5 linked regions of the Bombyx mori genome follow. The protein of the gene in region 1 purifies or fractionates together with the protein of each later gene. This does not show direct contact. Links are inferred from orthologs where the notes say so. Each region holds a gene or a part of one and is shown in the gene's direction. Other genes may lie near its edges.

What was found. The genes of interacting proteins can lie anywhere in the genome.
Region 2: the proteins of serine/threonine-protein kinase polo (region 1) and centrosomal protein of 97 kDa purify together in Homo sapiens (affinity purification with mass spectrometry; 4 studies listed by BioGRID and IntAct, with this or other methods). This does not show direct contact. The link is inferred for Bombyx mori from reciprocal best matches to the Homo sapiens genes PLK1 and CEP97.
Region 3: the proteins of serine/threonine-protein kinase polo (region 1) and DNA replication licensing factor Mcm6 purify together in Homo sapiens (affinity purification with mass spectrometry; 3 studies listed by BioGRID and IntAct, with this or other methods). This does not show direct contact. The link is inferred for Bombyx mori from reciprocal best matches to the Homo sapiens genes PLK1 and MCM6.
Region 4: the proteins of serine/threonine-protein kinase polo (region 1) and protein bicaudal D purify together in Homo sapiens (affinity purification with mass spectrometry; 6 studies listed by BioGRID and IntAct, counting the BioPlex papers as one, with this or other methods). This does not show direct contact. The link is inferred for Bombyx mori from reciprocal best matches to the Homo sapiens genes PLK1 and BICD2.
Region 5: the proteins of serine/threonine-protein kinase polo (region 1) and serine/threonine-protein kinase greatwall purify together in Homo sapiens (affinity purification with mass spectrometry; 3 studies listed by BioGRID and IntAct, with this or other methods). This does not show direct contact. The link is inferred for Bombyx mori from reciprocal best matches to the Homo sapiens genes PLK1 and MASTL.

Annotation. Positions count from the first base shown.
Region 1 is NC_085121.1:12,620,914-12,624,969, forward strand, and holds the start of serine/threonine-protein kinase polo, read left to right. Parts: upstream 1-1,256; coding exon 1,257-1,355; intron 1,356-1,747; coding exon 1,748-1,972; intron 1,973-3,058; coding exon 3,059-3,263; intron 3,264-3,553; coding exon 3,554-3,746; intron 3,747-3,948; coding exon of another isoform or gene 3,949-4,056. UniProt on the Homo sapiens protein: Serine/threonine-protein kinase that performs several important functions throughout M phase of the cell cycle, including the regulation of centrosome maturation and spindle assembly, the removal of cohesins from chromosome arms, the inactivation of anaphase-promoting complex/cyclosome (APC/C) inhibitors, and the regulation of mitotic exit and cytokinesis.
Region 2 is NC_085120.1:10,922,642-10,926,141, forward strand, and holds part of centrosomal protein of 97 kDa, read left to right. Parts: intron 1-574; coding exon 575-690; intron 691-2,747; coding exon 2,748-2,947; intron 2,948-3,500. UniProt on the Homo sapiens protein: Acts as a key negative regulator of ciliogenesis in collaboration with CCP110 by capping the mother centriole thereby preventing cilia formation. Required for recruitment of CCP110 to the centrosome.
Region 3 is NC_085132.1:5,453,839-5,457,526, reverse strand, and holds the end of DNA replication licensing factor Mcm6, read left to right. Parts: intron 1-589; coding exon 590-735; intron 736-3,031; coding exon 3,032-3,151; 3' UTR 3,152-3,188; downstream 3,189-3,688. UniProt on the Homo sapiens protein: Acts as a component of the MCM2-7 complex (MCM complex) which is the replicative helicase essential for 'once per cell cycle' DNA replication initiation and elongation in eukaryotic cells.
Region 4 is NC_085125.1:2,127,102-2,130,601, forward strand, and holds part of protein bicaudal D, read left to right. Parts: intron 1-1,133; coding exon 1,134-1,358; intron 1,359-2,593; coding exon 2,594-2,831; intron 2,832-3,500. UniProt on the Homo sapiens protein: Acts as an adapter protein linking the dynein motor complex to various cargos and converts dynein from a non-processive to a highly processive motor in the presence of dynactin.
Region 5 is NC_085111.1:9,215,376-9,217,726, reverse strand, and holds the end of serine/threonine-protein kinase greatwall, read left to right. Parts: intron 1-399; coding exon 400-612; intron 613-1,520; coding exon 1,521-1,567; 3' UTR 1,568-1,851; downstream 1,852-2,351. Other genes in the region: proclotting enzyme, read right to left, coding at 2,036-2,191. UniProt on the Homo sapiens protein: Serine/threonine kinase that plays a key role in M phase by acting as a regulator of mitosis entry and maintenance.

The DNA of each region.
Region 1 (4,056 bases):
AAAATCAATACTTCTTATATAATTTATTTTAATAAATTGTCATAATCAGAAACTAATTTCACCATAACTTTGTACGTTTATTTTGAACAAATTTAATTTTTGACGTTGATGGAAATTCTAAATTGTCGCAACATTTTCTAGTTAAGTTTAAGTCACATCGTTTAAATAATATGTATTTAGACATATTATTGTCATAAAATGTTTAAAATCCTGTAAAGTTGATTGATTTTAACCTTTTCGATAATTTTCTACAACGCCCAAGCTACTAAAAAATCCACTAACCACTAAAAGCCATTTTTGATAACTAAGACGGGGGTCCGAATTCCGAGATTTTATGGAAAATCCTCTAAGCTAGCAACACTGCTTTTTGTTTGTAAAATGTGCGAGAGGGACACCACCACTTAATAATCATTCTCTTTTCAGACCGTTTTTCCTTACATCTTTTGCTATTTAAAAATAAACTTTAAGTCATAGAGATAAAGTATATTTTTAGTTTTTATGTCAAACGAAGTAAGCACTCCAGTTAGAATAGTAACTCTATGGTCTATGGTTATACACCATTAAAATTTTTAACACACGCACACTTTGTCAACAGGAACAAAAACATCTGCACTTGTACTTGTGTACAACAAAAAAAAACACAAAACTTGGCTTTTGAGAAAAAAAGTGTATGAAAAACAGTAAAAAAGGATATTAAACATTAAAATTATAAATAGCTTTCAATTAATATTCACATATTCTCAATATTGACGGCAAGCTGAATCGATAGAAAGAACTTTTTAGCAGGCTTCAACAATAATTTCGTGATCAGGAAGTGCCGCAAAAATCATTACAGAAACTGTCTTTCTTTATTGTTACTCGCTCACTAATGCAGTTTTAATTAAAATGAATTATCTTACTCTTACCTATACAACATTGCAGTTTCAAATCATAAACTCCTTGTAGGTATAGTCTAAGATTTTTGCCATTTCGATTTATTGCACTGATTTCTGTGCAGCCTGTACAGCCAAAAAACATTTTTACAATATGGTATAACATTTTTACAAACCTAGCAACACTGGTATAAGCATCGCGGCGCCCTATTGGTTGAAAATTAAAAACCGTTCAAAACGGCCTTCAAACTTTGAAGTTAATTGAAGTTCAAACGTATGGCCGTTTGAGATCCCCTTTGTTAATTTGTCAACAATTACTTTTAGTGAACTTTACTGTTATTTAATATTATTTGACTGTAGTTTATATTTTTAAGCTAGCTAAAAATGACGTCGATCAAGGAAGATGAAAAGAAAGAAATCCCCGAAATCATTCACGATCCACAAACTAACAGCACCTACCAAAGATTACGGTTTTTTGGCAAGGTAAGTACTTACTGTATCTACGTTATTCGAAACACTTTAATTTTAAATAGGGATATAATGTATACATACTCTGTTCTTTTATACATTTAAAGCACTAATAATATTCTGTACACGAAGTACAAAAATGTATATTTTAGTAACCGTCTCATTGAATACATAAAAAAGTTCAACGCCGCCCAGCATGCACCTGTTTCGAAATAGCCTGACTACAGACATATAAAAATGCAGATCAATATAACTGAAGTTTGTCAGTCGAATTTGCATATCATTAATTCAACAGAAATTAACGACACGTATAGAATATGTGTGCATAACTGATATGCGAAACACAAGCAATGACGAAAATTTTAAATTAAAGCTTATATTTCTGTTAACACAATGATCGTTTTTAGGGTGGCTTTGCAAAATGCTACGAGATCCAAGACATAGCCTCCAACCAGATATATGCTGGAAAAATTGTTTCAAAGAAACTAATAGTGAAGTCATCGCACAAAGAGAAGATGGCTCAAGAGATCTCCATTCACAGGTCTCTCCAGCACAAGCATGTAGTTGGCTTCCACAGTTTCTTCGAGGACTCTTTGAATATTTATATAATATTGGAGCTTTGTAAAAAACGGGCAAGTATCATGCATATTTTAATTTTTTGTCAATTGATCTTGTCCAAAAAACTGAATAACAATTTAAGTTAAAAATTCATACGATTCTAAGGTATGGAAATGAATTAGATGGTTGATAGTTTCCGAGCCCATGTTCCATTTGATTCTCATACAGTCACCAAAGCCTCGGAATAACATTTATGTGATTAACAATAACTTGTTGATACACCAGTACAAAAATGGAGAAAAGAACTCTTAAGTAAAATTATAAAAAAAAAATCTCTTAAACTCTTGAGTCTTGGAAAATTAAATATTCTTTAATTTTCCACATCATGAAAAATATATATTTCATTTTAATATTTATGAAATACACTCAAGTACCATTAAAAATAAGACAGCTTGATTATGTGAATTGCATGTTATGATGTGCAATTGACATGGGAAACAATCAATAAACATAAGTAGTTGACTTAAAAATTTTGGGAAATTTATGACTGTGAATGCATTAAACATTTTACTTTAAACTATCTATGAAGCTGAACATAACAGTAAAATTTTGGTTGAACACTACGAATTATATATTAAACTGTCCAATAAATTGATAAATTCTGCGATTTTTTATTTTAGTTCTTATAGTTATATTCCCTTTACTGTTAAAACTACTTCTACCTTGCATTGTAGAATGGAGACAAAAGCAAGGCAAATCAAGTTTACTAAAAAAGATAATTAATTTTACATGAATTCTTTTGAAATATTTTTGTAAAAATAGTAAGTAAAGCAGCTTTCTGATGTCAGATTTTCATATTACCCACATTTTAATAATGCCATTAAGAATTTATAAAATTTAGATGAGTTTTAGCATCACTAACAATATATATTAATTTAGTTTAGGATATTTTAGTTGATATTTTGAATATATTTTGCAATACTATTCTGAAATAAAATTGATGAGGCCTATTTATTTGTTACTGCCCATGAGTACTCCTGAGTAGCTTATTATGTTGCTTTCATCATGTCTCCGTTTAAATGAATGCAAAACATATTTTCACTACCTATAAATCAACAAAATGTTTGATATCCAATAGCCTAATAAAACCACTCTTACAGTCGATGATGGAGCTTCACAAGCGTAGAAAAGCAATTACAGAACCAGAGACTAGGTTCTACATGCACCAGATACTGCTTGGCGTGCAATATCTCCATAGTAAGAGGATAATACACCGAGACTTGAAACTTGGCAATTTGTTCCTTGATGACGATCTTCATGTAAAAATTGGAGATTTTGGTCTTGCAGCAAGGATTGAATATGAAGGTAATTATAGGCCTACTCGATAGTGATCTTCTATCACATTGTAGTGATAAAAGTTTTTAATGAAGGCATGACTACAACTTTTTACAATTTTATCATGCAAACACTCTGCTTAAAGAACTGAAACCATTTTTTTATACCTAAGAATAACCTTGAGATTCAATTTCCTTTTCAACCTTTCTGAAAGTAATCATTCTCAGAAATATAAACATGAAGTGTGCGCCCATAGTTGTAATTCTGATGCTAAGGATTTCTCGTTTTTGAACTTGAAACAACAAAATGAACTTTCATAGGAGAGAGAAAACAGACTCTGTGTGGTACCCCAAACTACATTGCCCCTGAGATATTAACAAAGAAGGGCCACTCATTTGAAGTGGATATCTGGAGTCTGGGCTGCATCATGTACACGCTGCTTGTTGGCAAACCGCCGTTTGAGACGTCCACCCTCAAGGATACATACAAAAGGATTAAACAGTGCGAATACAGGTGATTTTTTTTTAATATAAATCTGTATGGATATCATCATTATTATAGTATTAAAAAGTATATATAGAATATTGATTTCAGCATTGATTACAATACGAAAAATATATACGTGATCATGGATAACATGTTATGTTAATATATTATATTTTAGAAAGTTATCAAAGAGAATATTAACAATAGATAATGTTATTGTTCCAACCAGTGAGGCAGTAGAGGTAGCGATGCGCGTTTGTCTCGGGGGCCCTTGGAACCATTTACGTAGTCGCTACGCGCGAACGTTAATCGACGATAACACCCTCAAACTACAATA
Region 2 (3,500 bases), on another chromosome or scaffold:
ACACTAGGACCAATTATACAGCAAGTTTACATAGATATTTAAATGGTTAAAACGGTATGCAGTTTTGTGGCAGTCAGCGTCACGGCTGTGGCCTTGGCATTGCTGTCGTCTATGATCAACGGGAACCACTCACCACCAGATGGGCTGTATGCTCGTTTTGCCTACAAAGCATATACGAAAGAAGCTTCGCTAATAATATTTCTAAGCTTTTTAATACGCTTTTATTAGCTTCAGACGTATGTATGTTTGTAACTGAATCTTTGAACATGAGTTTGCGTGGGGTGCGTGGTATCAGTAGTTATAAATATTTTATGAACAGATATGAGTAGAAGGGTTATTTTGATAATATTTTTTACAATAAAATCATTTTTTCTTACACTATTTCTAATTCAAATTTATTAAAATTTATTTTCTATTTCTTAGTTGGATTTTCTATAAAAGCGTATTTTGTTAGTTTTTTTTTAACTATTATTTATTTAAATTCAATGTTAAGTAATACATTTACGCAAGTACACGATGATAAACACAAATCGAATCTTAGTTTTAAGACAATCAAAACGATTTTTCTTTTCAGGTAACAGCATAAAATCGATAGAGCATTTGAATAACAACATGCATTTGGAACATTTGGATCTATCAAACAATCAGATCTCGTTCATAGCCGATATCTCTTATTTGAAGAATTTAAAGGTATGTAATAGAAATATAATCATCGCTTCACGAAGGAGTTTTAAATAACTAAATGCAGACACTAGAATTTAGCGCATTTTCTTCTTATTATCATTGTTAATATTATTATTACAATAATTAGTTTAATATAGAGGTAACTAAAACTTATAGTCCCATAAATAGCTAAAATAATCAACACGTTACAAGGTAACAGTAGATTTACATTGATCCATCTGTTTGACGATCGCAATGTAGAATCGCAAAATCGACGCGCTCCAGTGACATTTGGTGGTTGGAACTGACATTCGGTCTAGTTTGGGCAGTGTCAAGCAGTCAAGCGCTTAGGTTTGATGGGAACGTCTATCGTGAATATAAAATGAGACTTCAACCTCGTATTTCAAGATGGGTAGTAGCATTTTTTTTTTCTTGGATGGGTGGGCGAGTTCACAGTCCACCTGGTGTTAAGTGGTTACTGGAGCCTGTAGTGGACTGTATGATTAAGATGGGCAAGGAACTTGATAAATAAATTCGCGAGGATTGCACGTATAAAATTTGTATATTTTTACAATTTCATAAATCGCGTACAATAGCACGGATGAAAAGAGAATTACAAAACTATGACATTCCAAAATTCCAATTCAAATGTAATGTCAGAAACCACAACCACAACAATAAAAAAGGTTTTATACCAATTTTGTTGGGTTTCCAACAGAGCCCATAGACATTTACAACGTAAATGCGCCACCCACCTTGAGACATAAGTTCTAAGGTCTCAGGTATAGTTACAACGGCTACCCCACCCTTCAAACCGAAACGCATTACTGCTTCACGGCAGAAATAAACAGGATGGTGGTACCTACCCGCGCGGACTCTCAAGAGGTCCTACCACCAGTAATTATGTCATTTTTAACACCAATTTCATGTCATAAGCTCACTAAGGTTATAGGCTCATTCATCAACGCAACGAAAAAAATTTGCAGTTGTTAAAAGAAAGTGTCTTTATAAGAATGTCGTGAAAAGCCTTTTCGTCCAAATGAACCAATAGCAATATAGTCTTAGAAATGATAATTCTCAATCGTGAATCACTAAAATGCCTAAAAGATGGCTATGGTATTTTATGTCAATGGGCTCTCTGGTAATAGCAGGTGGGTCATAAGCTCACTAAGGTCATAGGCTCACTCATCCATGCAACGTAAAAAATGTGTGGTTGCAAAAAAAACTGCCTATATAAGAGTGTTATGAAGGGTAATTTCTTCCAAGCGAACCAGTAGCAATGTAATGTTAGAAATGAAGTTGATTCTCAATTGCGAAATACTAAACTGCCTAAAGGGTTAAGCTAATAAGTCCTTAAAATTTAATATTAAACAGACTGCACTGCTTTAGTGCAACATAGATGACTTGTCTCATCAAACTATTATCAAGCGGAAGATCTTTCGCCTTCACTTTATTCCTTCATGGACCATAATTCGCGAGTGTCGCGTGTTCGGAACTATTGCAGAGTAATATTTATGTTAATTACCACAAACGCGATTTGAATTTTTGTCTGATATCTAACTATAGTGGGTAATTAATTGCCAATGCAATATGTCCATACAAGACAACCGTTGCCGAATCATAACTCTCCAGATAAAAGACGTTTTTATTGTCCCAAATATCAAACATTCGACCTCGGATCTGTTTAAAAAATTACTCTACTGTAATACGTACTCAACAAATTAATGTTCACGATTGACATCCACGGTGAAGGAATAACATCGTGTAATAAAAATGAAACCCGCAAAATTATAGTTTGCGTAATTACTGGTGGTAGGATCTCTTGTGAGTCCGCACGGGTAGGTACCACCACCCCGCCTATTTCTGCCGTGAAGCAGTAATGCGTTTCGGTTTGAAGGGTGGGGCAGCCGTTGTAATTGTACTTGAGACCTTAGAACTTATATGCCAAGGTGGGTGGCGCATTTACGTGGTAGATGTCTATGGGCTCCAGTAACCACTTAACACCAGGTGGGCTGTGAGCTCCTCCAACCATCTAAGCAATAAATAAAAAAATTGTAAAGTTCATAATTTTCTTCGTCTTTCAGTATCTAAGCTTAGAAAGGAATCGTATAATAGATTTGCGTCAGTGCGATCGCTACCTACCCTCGAATCTAGTGCATTTCGGCGTCGCCCACAACAACATACAGGACCTCAACGAAATATGTCATCTGGTGCACTTGAGTAACTTAGAAAGCTTCACAATACAAGGGAACCCCTGCGTCTCCATGGCGGGGAAAGATAAACTGTATCCTTTTGTCAATGAAACTGCTTGAACGTAGGGAGGTTCTCGATTTGGAGCAGATGTTTTTCAAATAAATATACATATCTATATACTTTATATGTAAATCTACAGTGGTTTTTACGGATGTTCCGTTATAACTACTGAACCGTGCATCCGATTGACTTGAAACTTGGTATCCATGTAGAAAACACATGTACTTAATGGATAGACTAATATTTATATGAGTGTTGGACTCTAATAATGACAATTATTAATAATATTAATTCTAAATGCCCAGCGGAGCGGGCGAGTACGGCTAGTATATACATATATGTAAAGAAAAACCTTTTTATGTAATTTTTGTATAAAACCATTTTAGTTTTTTTTTAAATGATTTATTTTATATAGATTGACTGAACTCTCCGTTATTGAGAAAAAAAACGAGTTCACATTTATTTAATTCAAAAATACTGTGTAAAATAAGTTGTGGAAAATAAAAAAGGCTTTAAATGTTGTTTTCTTATTATTGTACAGAAAACGTAATTAAATCTTTTATTATTGTTTAACTATTTTTAGA
Region 3 (3,688 bases), on another chromosome or scaffold:
TAATAATAGTTAATAGTAATACACAAAGGTTTAGTTCGATCGAGTCCCATCTAATTTGTACATGCAAGATGTTTGTATTGGGTTTGGGTATACTCGTTTTCGTTTCTTATTTTTGTTTTCACAACACAGAAAAAGATCTTTGCTTCTTGTAGAGTCATGTAATGTAATTATTCTTAAAAATAATTTGAACACAACGCATACATTTTATACAGTGCAGAACAGCACTGTATTTGTCGAGTTCAAGTCTAAGGATTGAGGCCGGACACTCTGTTTTTTTTTTATTGCTTAGATGGGTGGACGAGCTCACAGCCCACCTGGTGTTAAGTGGTTACTGGAGCCCATAGACATCCACAACGTAAATGCGCCACCCACCTTGAGATATAAGTTCTAAGGTCTCTTGTATAGTTACAAGGGCTGCCCCACCCTTCAAACTGAAACGCATTACTGCTTCACGGCAGAAATAGGCAGGGTGGTGGTACCCACCCGCGCGGACTCACAAGAGGTCCGACCACCAATAAACCAGTGAAATATCTTGGTCTTGATACATTTTATTACCATTTAACTAATCTCAGTGTAACTTATATTTCAGACGAGGAGAGCTCCGGTATGCACAAGTCTGCCGTAGTGAGCTGGTACCTAGAACAGCTGGTGGCACAAGGACAAATCGAAAGCGAAGACGAGTTACTTGAACGAAAGACACTAGTTGAGAAAGTCATTGATAGACTTATGTACCATGTAAGTGTCTTTTGTGTTTGTGTGTGTGTTTTTAAGCTATTGCATAGCTTTTACCGTGGCAGTTCCCGAGTGCCACACGTTCTTTTTTTATATTATACTATGTTAATTTAAAAATGTACCCTTAATTATCCATTGATTATATTTATACCTAGTCAGGTCATAAATTCTGTCACATGTTTAATGTAAAATAATTGAAACAAGTTTATTCATTATGTAACCATTCATATACCAAAATGAACTTAACAAAACATAGATTCTTATGACACTAAGGTTTATTCAAAATGACCTCCGTGATTTTGAATACAGGCCTTCAATCTGCGCGGCCAGTCGTCTATCGCAGCACGAACGAGGTCCATGTCAATATCGGCGGCTGCCTTAATCAAGGATGTCTTGAGTGACTCCAAATTGGGATGAGGCTTTGAGCACGCCTTTTCCTCCAAGTGTTGCCATATCTTGTAATCTAACGGATTCAAATCTGTACTGGAGGAGGGCCAGTCTTCGTGCCGGATGAAGTCGATTTCACGCGCCGCCAGCCAGTCTTGTGTGCTCTTCGCTCTATGAGCTGGCGCTGAATCTTGTTGGAATATCCAGTGCCTGTTTATTGAACATGGTATGAGAAACAGGTTCCACAAGGTTCGTCAGGACTGTATTTTGATACACAACTGCATTCGTTTTTACAACTTTCTCACAAAAATGTACCTCTGTTAAGCCCCAATAAGAAACTCCCAACCATACCATGAGCGAGGATGGAAAATGACCTCGTTGGACACGCGGAATACGGTTGCTCGCTTCTTCACTACTGTGTGCGTACACCTTATCATTTTGTTTGTTGTAGCTCTCTTCTACGGTAAACATTTTTTCATCCGAAAAAAGAATTTCCCGATATTTTTTTCCCGCGTACCGCTTCAACAAAGAGCGGCATCTCTTCAGTCTCAGGTCCATTAGACGAGCATTCAAATGATGTCCTGTTTTTCTTCGATATGCCCGAAGCCCTAAGTCTTCATTTAACACCCTTTTCACCGTGGTTCTGCTTAACCCCATCTGAAGGGCCAACAGTTTCTGCTTACGTTTGGGATTTCTTTGAATTCGCGGTTTCACAGCTTTTATCACTGCTGGAGTCCTAACAGACCGAGGGCGACTTCTTGACCTGTCATCTACACTAGAGTCTTCATTGTATCGTTTGATGGTACGATAAATGAATCTTTTGGTTATATTAAAATTTTTCAGTATGTTAAAAATTTGAATTGGCGCGTAACCGCAACGATGCAACGCAATAACTGCAACACGGTCTTCTTTAAGCGTCCACTCCATATTTAAAAATGAGTAAAATTCTACAAGTATACATTTTTATTTTCATGAACAATTCGAAATTCGAATTCAATAAACTTTTTTGTGGCCAGCATTCTAAAAGAAAAGTTTTTACTGTGTGACAATACTTATGACCTGACTAGTTATATACGTATTTTTTTTTTGTATAAAATAGTAATGTTGTCAGTATATAAATTTTTTTTATTGCCTTTGTAGGCAGACGAGCATACGGCCCACCTGATGGTAAGTGGTCACCTTTGCTCATGGTCGTCAGCAATGACAGGGGCAGAGCCAAGTCGCTGCCTACAGGTCTACGCTGTCTATAGAATCGTATACTTAGTCTACTACTGCATTAAAATATGTTGTTACATAATAGATAGGTACTATTGTTACACGGTCATAATCCATGGGTGATACGGTCCTAGCTATTATTTTGACCTTAAAGCAATTGGAAGCTTAAGCAATTAGTTTCAATGTATTATACATAACTGTGATAGTTAAAAGAGATTTCCTTAAATAATTAATATAAATGTAGTTGTTATAAATAGACACAAGTAAAAATACAAAAAACGACAAATAAATATCTGTAGCTTAAAAAAGTAAAAGTAAAAAGTAAAGTTTAGAAAAAAAACTAGTCTCGTTCTTATGATCTAGAATTATGTAAACGATCTTGATGGATAGAAGGAATGTATTTCCAATGTAATTGAGATATTGACCTCGTGTCAATGTGATCAGCGGTCGTAAGCTAATCTGCCCGGCGACGTCACAACACCTAAGGGGTGACCATTTATATATAGGCTTGTGAAAAGTATTAAACGGTAGGCAGTGGCTTGGCTCTGCCCCTGGCGTTGCTGAAGTCCATGGGCGACGGTATCCACCCGCCATCAGGTGGGCCGTATGCTCGTCTGCCTACAAGGGCAATAACAGATAAAATAAATAAATAAAACACTCAAGTATTTACACTATTGTTTTCTTTTATTTATTTCAGGATCAAGTAATAATACCTTTATCAACGACCGGACTCAGAGGAACTCAGAAGTCGTCGGAACAAGACATAGAAGACGATCCGTTATTAGTCGTGCATCCAAATTATGTTGTCGACGCGTAATTCCTAAGCTCAATATAGTTTAAAAAAAAAAACGAAATCCACCTTTTTTTTCTCCTACCTAAGCTGTGAGCCTTGAGAGGCTATATCAGCGTAACCTTAACTAGTAGGTGAGCTCACGGGGCTCAAACCTGACGACGTTGCTAACACGAACTCTAGCAAGAGCCGTGCTTCGCAGAATCTACCACCGGATCGGAAACGCGACCCAATGAGAAGATCCGGCGAGAAATTCAGTGGGCTGTGTCTGAGGGTTAATCCACCCTTTTTCTTTCGTCACAGCAAATGATATCAAAGTCAGAAATGTTTTGTATATTGAGTGCCTAAAAGGGGAACGCGCGTCTGATTCAACGCAGCCAGGTAGAGCGGTGGAACTCTTAAGAAACCCTACCGTCAGTTCGTGAGTTCTTAATGCTCATAAACTAAGTGATAATTTATTGACATGATCATGAGTTTCTTTGTCAGTTAGAAAAATTTAATTAAATAGATATGATTGCGAATATAGTCCGCCTCGGTGTTTTTTTTATTAGCCGTGTAGGCAGA
Region 4 (3,500 bases), on another chromosome or scaffold:
TGTCAAGTTTATCTCAATAAGCGGATCGGAACTGTTTTGGAAATATTCGCGTGTAGCTATTTAGTAATATCGACAGTCCACAGGTCTTGAAACGGAAGTAATAACCGTTGATACCGGGAATACCGTTGTCAACATGCGGCTTTTATCGAGTCACACATTGACAATGTTTATAATATAGTATAATAAAAACATACCACGCTCATAAAGCACTAAAAATGGGAAGGTCTGTTCCACGAATGCCAATATCAGTGCTAATGGTTGTTGACTCGTGTCAACTGGACGTGTTTCTAACGACAAATGGGTTAAAATACCAAATTTCATGAGATTACTTAAAGCTTAAACACATTCTTAAATTGTCAAGCATGGTATTTTAACATTATGTATTTTTTTAATATTCACGTCTCAGATAAAAAGTAACTATAATAATTTGGGATCTCTTTCAACTACGCCACCAAAAAAGAGTAATGCACTACTGATTTACTGATGGTAGGACCTCTTGTGAATCCGCGCGGGTCGGTACCACCACCCTGCCTGTTTCGCCGTGAAGTGTTGAATGAGTTTCGGTTTGAAGGGTGGGGCAGCCGTTGTAACTATACTGAGACCTTAGAACTTATATCTCAAGATGGGTAGCGCATTTACGTTGTAGATGTCTATGGGCTCCAGTGACCACTTAACACCAGGTGGGCTGTGAGATCGTCCACCCATCTAAGCAATAAAAAATAAAAAAGAATTACCTTGGGTTTTTATTTTTTACTTATTTATTTATTTATAACTTTATATACTAGACAGTCTAAAGGCGGACTTAATGCCATAGGCATTCTCTGACGGTCTACCTTAGGGGGGTGCAGAGATGAACCTTGGTAGGTGTAGTGTGATAATGATATTACTTAAGCATATGTGTATATACTATTTATAGATACAAATACTCGTACTTAAATAAATACATATACATAAATATATACATATAAAAATATATATAAATAAATATTATCAATTAGATGACTATCAATTAGAAATAAAGATTCTTTAAATAAATATTATCAATTAGATGACTTTATCAATTAGAAATAAAGATTATTTTTCTTCCTACGATCTAGATTTTGTTTTGTTAATTTATCTATTAACTGCCGCAGCTCCGCCACGAGCTGGACCGAGTGGTGAGTGAACGCGACCGTCTCCTGACGGAAAGTTCGGAGCTTGGCGCCGACAAAGCGACGCGCGAGTCCGAACGCGCCGCCCTAAGAGCCGAGCTGCGGGAGGCGCGGCGGCGAGAGCAGCGGCAGCTCAGCGACATCACCGACCTGGAGGATGAGAACATCTCGCTACAGAAGCAAGTCTCAGCACTGAGGTCGTCGCAGGTCAGTACTCGGCACACGACGGCGACACGTTGTAATGTTGTATTCCATCTATACTTCTATACTAATATTATAAAGAGGAAAGATTTGTTTGTTTGTATTGAATAGGCTCCGAAACTACTGAACCGATTTGAAAAATTCTTCCACTGTTTGGAAGCTACACTATTCCCGAGTGAAATAACGGCTAAAATCTTTTTTGAAAAATATTAGGGATCCTTACTAAAACTCCAATAATGTAACCCAAGGTGTAAAAAAATTACCTAAAATATTCTTTACATCCCATGCCCTGCGAAAACTATTGATGATAGAATAAAATAATGTACTACGGCTTTGTAGAACACATTATTATTTACAAAAAGTGTCGCAACATCATATGTCTAACTATTATAGCTATACCGCAATATGTGTTCTTTTATTTAAAAAAAAACAACGTCAAATATCGTTGAAATTTTTGTTAAAGACGCGAGCGGAGCTGGAGTGGGCCGCTAGTGCTTAATAATCATCTTAATCCTAGTTTACAATTATGAAGAAGCCTATGTTTCTGGGTGGTCCGCATTATTAGGGTGACATACGAGATTACACCTATTAATTATGTTATATACTAAATGCTATGCTAATACTATGCTATAATATATAAGTATACACACTTCAATGTATCCCGATGCTGCTTTCGTTAGATGTTGCACTCGATACTACAACTTTATGTCCGCAAGTCCGAGCGTATTTGATCGCTTCGTTGGTCAAGCGGCTTCTTCAACCTCGTAAATAATATATTCAGTAGTGGTGTTCTTGTTTCGTATATAAAGGTTTCCGGAACCCCCAAGAAAATCCAAAATCGGGAATGCTACTACATATGGCTTGTTAATTATTTTGATTACTACCTGGTCCTGTTTCTGACGAGTGGAAAATATCAAATCTGTACTTGGAGTTTGGGGGGAGGGACGCGGTTCGCTAATTCGCGGCTTCCTACCTAAGCTGATAGCCTTGAGAGGCTATTTCAGCGTAACCTTAACTAGTAGGTGAGCTCACGGGGCTCAAACCGGAGTGATGCTAACACTGACCCTAGCAGGAGCAGTGCTTCGCAGAATCTACCACCGGATCGGAAACGCGACCCACTGAGAAGATCCGGCTAGTAACTCAGTGGGCTGGGTTTCACTAGCCAAGCATCCTCGCACCTCAATCCGTATGCGTTAATACAGAAAAAGTTATCACTTTATCGTGTTATCTGATTGCACCAGGTGGAATTCGAAGGATTGAAATATGAAGCTCGTCAACTCCGCGAGGAGGCGGAGGCGGCCCGCGCGACCGCCGAGGAGACGGCGGCCCTGCGGCGCATCGCCGAGCGGCAGCTGGCCGAGGCGCTGGAGGCGCTGCAGGCTGAGAGGGAAGCCAAGTTCGCCGCCAAGAAGGAGCTGGACGCGCACCTCAGCAAGGAGGCGGCGTACAACATTACGAACCTCGCCTACACTATCCGAGGTAAGAAGACAACAACAATAGATGTTGTTTTTTTAAAGTGAAACTTCTTTAGAATCGTTGTGATTTCAAACTCGATGAAACGAAAAAGTAAGTCCATAGAGACACAAACACGTAAATGTATAGGATTCAGCCGGCGAGAGAATGAGATAGAACACATTAGACGTTCTCAGTGTAGTGTTTTTTTTAATACAGCGCCATCTATGAGATTTTTTAATACTAACGTGTGTATGAAACCTCTTGTAGTGAATCTTAATTTAGGATTATACGTGAAGTTAAAATATCAATTCACAGAGGGCGCTACCTCATACTATAAAAAATGATTTACAATTATTTACTAATGACAAAATTTTATATGTACTTAGACATTTACGATAATTCTATTTTAATTTTGTTGCTTAGATGGGTGGACGATCTCACAACCCACCTGGTTTTAAGTGGTTACTGGATCTCATAGACATCTACGACGTAAATGCGCCACCCACCTTGAGATATCAGTTCTAAGGTCTCAATATAGTTACAAACCGAAACGCATTACTGCTTCACGGCAGAAATAGGCAGGGCGGTGGTACCTACCCAAGCGGATTATAATTTTGCGGGTTTGATTTTTATTACACGACGTTACTCCTTCACCGTGGAAGTCAATCGTGAACATTTGTCGAGTACGTATTT
Region 5 (2,351 bases), on another chromosome or scaffold:
CTACAAAGCTATAAATTTTGGGGAGTGTGGTATCAGCGCCGCGCCGGTGTGCGTGTAAAAGAAAAGCGCGCCCGGGCGTTCGTTGATCCGAGCATCAGCTGTTTTTGATTTTGTGTTTCATTGCTGGTTTTAATAAAAAGTATTAATAATAATTAATGTATTTTTTATGAAACTATCATTTCATTTAGCCGACTAACTTGACGGAGCGTAAACAATGCGTTTAAAAATATGTTTTTTTTTTTAAATCAGCATCGATTTTTTTTCCTTCCCATCATCAAAGGTGTCTTTAGTAGTACTCTGTCTTCGGAAACGATCTCCTAATACCCAGTATAGGCACACAATAAATGAAATCCAAATTTTTTATTGTCATATAAGCGTACTTTGTATTTTGTATTCCAGATATCGAATGGCCAGAAGGTGACGAAGCGTTATCGCCCGAAGCTGTGAGTTCTATCGAGGCTCTACTGACGATGGAGCCGGCGGAGCGCCCGGCCGCCGCCGACGTGCGGGCCATGCCCTTGTTCAGAAACGTTGACTGGGAGAACCAACTCAACACGGAACCGCCATTCGTTCCCACGCCCGACGATTTACATGACACAGGATACTTCCAAGGTACACTACAGACAACGTTAGCTCCTTAAACAATTGTATTATGGGGGAATCTGAATGCGGGAATTGTGGTAGCCGAAGTTCTTGATGCGCTGATGATGTAGTGTGAAGACTGCAGTTGTTCCGTCGCAGGTCACCCATATAGGGATACACGACGGCGGGAAGATTTTACACCAAGCGTGTGATATTTTGCTCGGTAGACCGACGATCCAAATGTTTTTTTTTTTATTTCTACCTATGCTGATAGCCTTGAGAGGCTATTTCAGCGTAACCTTAACTAGTAGGTGAGCTCACGGGGCACAAACCTGACGACGTTGCTAACACGAACCCTAGCAAGACTCGTGCTTCACAGAATCTACCACCGGATCGGAAACGCGACCCACTGAGAAGATCCGGCGAGAAACTCAGTGGGCTGTGTCTGTGGGATAATTTTCTCGTCGAGACCTTCGTCGCAAGCGACGGGTTCGACGAGAACGATGACCGGTCCCACATGTTGTCGTTCGGAACTTGTATATATGCAAGCTTATCTTGAAAATGTCGTAAGCGAGATTCAGGCATCTGTCAAATATCTTGTGTTCTGTGATGACTACCGCCACAGCTTAAAGAATATTTTTGTAAAAACAACTATAAAGAAATTGAGAAATGTCGTAATAATAGTTATTTTAAAAAAATATTGCACAAAGTAGGTGCACAGCAGAAACATCTCTTTCGCATGTCTGCACATAAATAGAACTAACGTCATGCTACTCAATGTGCATTATTTTTCTTATTTCGACAACTACCCACACGAATCTGAAAAGAATTTACGTTACTTATTTTTGACGAAATTCCTATATTTATTTCTATTTAAAAATTCTAATTTACATTCAATTGTAAATTATCATCATTTAACTAATAACTTTTTGTTTCAGCCCGCAATATTTTACAACAACTCCAAGTATCAAATTTCGACATATAATTTTAAATGTTCATGATAAACCTTTAACTAGTTGAGAATGTTAGCTGCATAATAATGATCAGCGTGTTAATCTATATGAAAAGTATAAATGTTATAATGTATTTATAAATAACGTTGTAATAAAATTATATTATTAAGTCCTTTATTCTGAAGACTGATTTTGTGTCATTATTATTAACAATATGTATTATCGTTTCAGAACAAAAAATGTATCTTTCACAGCATAGGTGCTTCAATTATATGAATAAATTTAATCTAACACAAAATAAAACGATTATTGAAAAGTTTACGTATTTTATTTTAGAAACTTAAGCTAAATTGGCACATTTCGTTGTCAAAATAAAATATCAATTCATTGAGAAAAGCAAGCTTAAGGTTGTTTTTCTCAAAATAATTGAAATAAAATATTTTTATGTTTTTCATAACGGCATCCAATTTTCTACCGTTATAACGTTTTATATATTTTCCTCACTTGGAGTTCTTCTGTATCCAAGGTAGGAATGCAGTGATGCGTGTGTATACACCTGGGTACTGTCCTTTACCGCAACCGATACCCCATGATACGATTCCGACTTGGTTCCACGTACCACCTTCGTTGACCATCAGTGGCCCGCCACTATCACCCTAAAATTTAAAAAGACGAGTTGTATAAACTAGTAAAGCTATTGTTCCATGAAAAGAAAGAAAGTTGAGATAATGGCGGTGAAAGTAAATGCAAATTTTCAGACCAAATCTATCAATTCTGCTATCGTGTTAATGAGGCACGTGTAACTTAAGGGGACCA